Danio rerio: one gene and its partner. The protein of the gene in region 2 binds, or shares a complex with, the protein of the main gene of each other region. Links are inferred from orthologs where the notes say so. Each region holds a gene or a part of one and is shown on either strand. Other genes may lie near its edges. The genes, in order: ube2j1 and os9.

The links.
Region 1: os9 (region 2) and ube2j1 share a complex: the UniProt entries of both Homo sapiens proteins name them as parts of the HRD1 complex. The link is inferred for Danio rerio from reciprocal best matches to the Homo sapiens genes OS9 and UBE2J1.

What each region holds. Positions count from the first base shown.
Region 1 is NC_133195.1:1,225,496-1,228,008, reverse strand, and holds part of ube2j1 (ubiquitin-conjugating enzyme E2 J1), read left to right. Parts: exon of another isoform or gene 1-355; intron 356-520; exon of another isoform or gene 521-1,597; intron 1,598-1,968; coding exon 1,969-2,232; 3' UTR 2,233-2,513. UniProt on the Homo sapiens protein: Catalyzes the covalent attachment of ubiquitin to other proteins. Functions in the selective degradation of misfolded membrane proteins from the endoplasmic reticulum (ERAD) and is essential for cells to recover from ER stress.
Region 2 is NC_133181.1:41,754,956-41,758,493, forward strand, and holds part of os9 (protein OS-9), read right to left. Parts: coding exon 3,361-3,538; intron 305-3,360; coding exon of another isoform or gene 86-304; intron 1-85. UniProt on the Homo sapiens protein: Lectin component of the HRD1 complex, which functions in endoplasmic reticulum (ER) quality control and ER-associated degradation (ERAD).

The DNA of each region.
Region 1 (2,513 bases), on a different chromosome or scaffold from region 2:
TTGCGTACATCATATTTATAATTGAGACCCCATGTGTAAACAGCCCCTAACATTCTAGATGCGATCCTGTATAGTTTATGCTCCATTCAGCCAGTTTAGTGTCTGTCAGCTTTGTGTTTTTGACTGTTTGTCTCCATCTTGTGTCTGAATAATGTGCAGGTTAGTGTATACTCCATCAGCTGTTTTAGTGTCTGTTGTGTTTTTGACTGTTTGTCTCCATCTAGTGTCTGAATAATGCGCAGGTTAGTGTATACTCCATCAGCTGTTTTAGTTTCTGTTGTGTTTTTGTCTGTTTGTCTCCATCTAGTGTCTGAATAATGCGCAGGTTAGTGTATACTCCATCAGCTGTTTTAGTGTCTGTTGTGTTTTTGACCGTTTGTCTCCATCTAGTGTCTGAATAATGCGCAGGTTAGTGTATACTCCATCAGCTGTTTTAGTGTCTGTTGTGTTTTTGACCGTTTGTCTCCATCTAGTGTCTGAATAATGCACAGGTTAGTGTATACTCCATCAGCTGTTTTAGTGTCTGTTGTGTTTTTGACTGTTTGTCTCCATCTTGTGTCTGAATAATGCGCAGGTTAGTGTATACTCCATCAGCTGTTTTAGTTTCTGTTGTGTTTTTGACTGTTTGTCTCCATCTTGTGTCTGAATAATGCACAGGTTAGTGTATACTCCATCAGCTGTTTTAGTGTCTGTTGTGTTTTTGACTGTTTGTCTCCATCTTGTGTCTGAATAATGCGCAGGTTAGTGTATACTCCATCAGCTGTTTTAGTTTCTGTTGTGTTTTTGTCTGTTTGTCTCCATCTTGTGTCTGAATAATGTGCAAGTTAGTGTATACTCCATTAGCTGTTTTAGTTTCTGTTGTGTTTTTGACTGTTTGTCTCCATCTAGTGTCTGAATAATGCGCAGGTTAGTGTATACTCCATCAGCTGTTTTAGTGTCTGTTGTGTTTTTGACCGTTTGTCTCCATCTAGTGTCTGAATAATGCGCAGGTTAGTGTATACTCCATCAGCTGTTTTAGTGTCTGTTGTGTTTTTGACTGTTTGTCTCCATCTAGTGTCTGAATAATGTGCAGGTTAGTGTATATTCCATCAGCTGTTTTAGTTTCTGTTGTGTTTTTGACTGTTTGTCTCCATCTAGTGTCTGGATAATGCACAGGTTAGTGTATACTCCATCAGCTGTTTTAGTTTCTGTTGTGTTTTTGACTATTTGTCTCCATCTAGTGGCTGAATAATGCGCAGGTTAGTGTATACTCCATCAGCTGTTTTAGTTTCTGTTGTGTTTTTGACTGTTTGTCTCCATCTAGTGGCTGAATAATGCGCAGGTTAGTGTATACTCCATCAGCTGTTTTAGTTTCTGTTGTGTTTTTGACTGTTTGTCTCCATCTAGTGGCTGAATAATGCGCAGGTTAGTGTATACTCCATCAGCTGTTTAGTGTCTGTCAGCTCTTTGTTTTTGACTGTTTGGTGCCTTCTTTTATTGTCTGCATGGAGGTTCTGGACAGAAATTCATATTTGACACTGACATACAACATATATTTACATTCTATAAAGCCCATAAAACACTTTAACCCAACTCATCCCAAATAGAGAGGGTTTATTATATAAAAAAAACAAACAAACAATCCTGATAATACATATTCCAGCTAAAGGACTTGATAAAGGATTCAGCTAAAGGATTTGTCACCACTTATGGAATAAATGACCTTTTGAACTCTTTCTTGTCACTAGTTTGTGCAGCCTCCGCCCTAAAGGAAGGGTCTCAAAGTGAAAATGGAGGAGTCGAGTCTGATCAGAATACGCAGCATGTGCCTTTTTCTTCAAGAACTGTGAAAACAGTTTATTTATTACACTTGATTACCGCTCCAGTTTTTTGTCTACTCCATGTTTATAAATGAGACCCCTGTTGTGTAGTGTGGAAGTGATGGTGTGTCCTGCACTGATCTCCGCTCTCTGTCGTCTTCTGCTTTAGACCGAATCCTCATCTGTGGCTCCTCAGACATCAGCCGAGGATCCATCAGTTTCAGCAGCTCCCAGTCCGCGTCAGCGCCGCTCCCAGAACCAGTCCCCTAGATCCCCCGTGTTCCCGGCGTCCCCTGCACCCCCGCACCTCCCTCAGGACAGCAGTCGCACCGGCTCGGCCATCCTCATCGTGCTGCTCACGCTGGCTCTGGCCGCACTCATCTTCCGCAGGATCTATTTAGCGCACGAGTACAAGTTTGACTACGAGCTGTGAACTCTTTCCCAAGCGGCGTTCGCTCTGGCACCAGGACGGGACGCCTGTTTCCTACATTCAACTCTTCGTAAATGTTTTCACCAATCAAAAGGGGTGAATATTAGTACGCTAGGTACCATGTCAGGTCTTGATTTCACCCCGAAAACGTACCAAATTTACAAAATGATAGTTTTTTATTTTAATATTTTGTTTTGGTCCCACTTTCTATTAAGTGGCCTTAACTAATATGTACTTGCACTGAAGTGATTCATTTATTACATTATACCTGTGTAAATATGTGT
Region 2 (3,538 bases):
TAAAAGTTTTTGCTCCACTCACAAAGACACACACACACAGGGAAATAAGCATACTTTAGATTTGTGTGTGTGTGTTCTGGCCTACCTTCGGCCTTGATGCCGGCTCTCTCTAGCTGCTCTTTGACCACTTCATGAATCTGCTGCCACTGGGGGTCGCCCTCGCCCAGTTCCTGCACCTTCACACCCCCCTCATCATCATCACCATCATCGTTGCCCCCGGTAACCGCTCCTGCAGCCACACCTCCGCCCACCTTATACTTAGTCACCCTGACTTTTACCTGCTCGCCGCCGCCGCTGCTGTCCGCTTGGGTGATGTGAGACAGAGGGAAGGGTAGGGTTACCGCGAGTACATCGCAAAATAAAATCCCCCTGCCCACTTTGTATTACATCAAAAGACAGAGTTGCACAGCAGTATGGCAATGTGTAGAATTAAAAACAGCGGTGACAGTGATTTCATCATGAACATCGTTTATACAGTGGCATCTAAAAAGTATTTTGACTGCTGATCATTGAAAATAAGTAAACAAAAATACACTACTATTGAATAGGTTGAGGTCTATGGAAGCCCATTCCTGCCACTGAATAAAAAAAAAATACTAATAATAAAAAAAAATTATAAAGTCAGAATTCTGAGTTATAAAGTCGCAATTCTGAGTTATAAAGTCGCAATTCTGAGTTATAAAGTCGCAACTCCGAATTATAGTCAGAATTCTGAGTTATAGTCACAATCCTGAGTATTTAAGTCAGAATTGCGAATTATAATTGCGTTTCCTGTTATGCCAACTGACCATAAATGCAGTGTTAAAGATGCATGCACATTAGCTCATAATCAAAACATAAAGCCTATATCCAACTTTTTATTGTTTATTCTGACTTAAAAACTCACAATTCTGACTCAATAACTCTGAATTCTGACTTAACAACTCACAATCCTGACTTAACTCGCTATTCTGACTTTATAACTCGCAATTCTGACTTTATAACTCACCTTTCTGACTTAACTCTGAATTCTGACTTAATAACTCTGAATTCTGACTTAAAAACTCGCAATTCTGACTTAATAACTCAGAATTTTGACTTAACTCAGAATTATTACTTTATATATTTTTTTTCATTGAACTCATTCTTTATTCAGTGGCCAGAACGGGCTTCCATAGAGGTCAGTAGGAATGAATCAAAATACTTTAAAAAATATTACAAAAGATTTTGTTTTAAAGAGGCAGTTAAGTAAAATGAAAATATCTGTCATCATTTACTTTTTCTCAAGTGGTTTAAAAATGTATAATTTTTTTTCTGAAATGCACAAAGGAAGACATTTTGAAGAATGCTGGAAACTGGTAGCCAACTACTAAACATTTTTTGGTAGAACTATGCCTTTAAAGCAGCACAACTATTTTTGAAACTGATAATAATAATAATAATAATTGTTTCTTGAGTAACCAATTTCTCATTTGTCATGTGGCAATTCAATTCAAACTCCAGAAATAAATTATATTTAATTAAATACATACTAAAACAGACTGTTCTGTTTTTTATTGTATTTTAATTAAATAAACAAAGCCTTGATAAGCAAGATATCCTTTCAAAACCCTAAATCAAGCCAATCCCAAACCTTCAAATAGCAGTGTATCATAAAAAATTACAATAAAAAAAATTATTAATACTTGGCTCGTCACTATAATCAATACATAGACTTGACGTCAATAATTTTTGGTGATGCAATATATATGGCTCATACATAAAAACTAGCAACATTTTAGCTGTTTGCCCAACCTCTCGATCTGTATTGAAGGTTTCAGTGTCAGTATAGTTAAAAACACTATAGTATTAACTATAAATTATTTGGTGTCTGACAAATGAAAAGAAATCTGGTAGCAGATATCACAGCCTCTGTTACTTTTTGCATTGCACATTTTGTTAACATTTACTATTATTTAATTGTTTAGGAAACACGTTTTCACATTCCATTCTGATCGCAATGCCTCATTATTAAAATGTCTGTAATTAAATAAAATATTCCTAAAAATAAAATATGATGTTTTCTTTGGAAGAGTGTACTTGCATTGCAATAATATTATACTGTCATTCTGGGATTATATAATGAGTGGCATAAAATGATCTTAAAATTACAATATAGTTTCGCAATATATTTTGCCCTACAGCACCTTGTCATCCTTTCCAGTTGTAAGAGCAACAAATATAAACTTGACTTCTAGTTTATCATTTGGAAAAGTAGCAGAGGATAGATTTTTCTGTTGAACTGCATCTCTATCATCACAAATACTGCAGAAGACCTATTGGAACCTGCATGGACCCAATATTTTCATAGAAATCAGACAAGTTTGGCGAAGGAAAAATCATGGTTTGGGGTTAAATTCAGTATTGGGCGTGCAAGAGATCTGCAAAGTGGATGGCAACATCAACAGCCTGAGGTATCAAGACATTTGTGCTGCCAATTTTATTGAAAACTAGAGGAGAGGGCAAATTCTTCAGCAGGATAGCGCTCCTCATACTTCAGCCTCCACATCAAAGTTCCTGAAAGCAAAGAAGGTCAAGATGCTCCAGGATTGGCCAGCCCAGTCACCAGACATGAACATTGAGCATGTCTGGGGTAAGATGATGAAGGAGGCATTGAAGATGGATCCAAAGAATCTTGATGACCCGGGAGTCCTGCAGGAACGCTTTCTTTACCATTCCAAATGACTTGTGTCAGTGCAGTCCTGCAAGCTCATGGCAGTCATACACTATTTTAATTCTTTTTTCACTGCACCATGACTTTATTCTATACTGTACATTATTTCTGTTAAGTGACAAGACTTTTGTCTAAGCAAAGTCAGACCTTACTGTCCTAATTAAATAATTAAAAATCAAGTCATGATCATATTTTGGTAAAATAAGCGTAATTTAGAGGCCTTTGCCTTTCATATAAGCCACTTCTGATACTAAACAATCAACTAGAAGTCAAGTTGTTATTTGTTGTTCCTAAAACTTGGATAGGCAACACGACTTTTGTCAGATAGTGTAAATCGTACAACAGAAAAGCAGATATCATGACAGGCATAATTAATACTTAATAATTTCTCTTTGAAATCAGTTAGAAAAAATTATTTGCCATTAATTGAAATGGTCTAGCATCAGTTGTTTGTTGATGACTACTTTTTTGAGCCACTGTATAATGCAAAAATACAAGCCATGCACACACAGACATTATACTATATATGTATAGTATAATAAGCTCATAAGCAGATTCTATGAATGCTTGGGGTGCACAGATGAAAGTTAGAGACATTTTAATGAGCCATCCATTCTACCATCTGTTCGCTCATGCACCTGTTTCCCCTCTGAGGTCTCTATATTTACCTGGTGTTTTGGGAACCAGATTTGGGTTGCCAGAAGAAGAGCCTCCCTCTGTTTTATGCGGTGAATGTGTGCTTTTATCCATTTCTGCATTTTGTTCTGTTTCTGCTTGACTCTTATGTTCAGTCTTGTCTTCAAGACGGTCCAGAAGTTTCCCTAGTGTATTTTCTAGAGTTTGCGT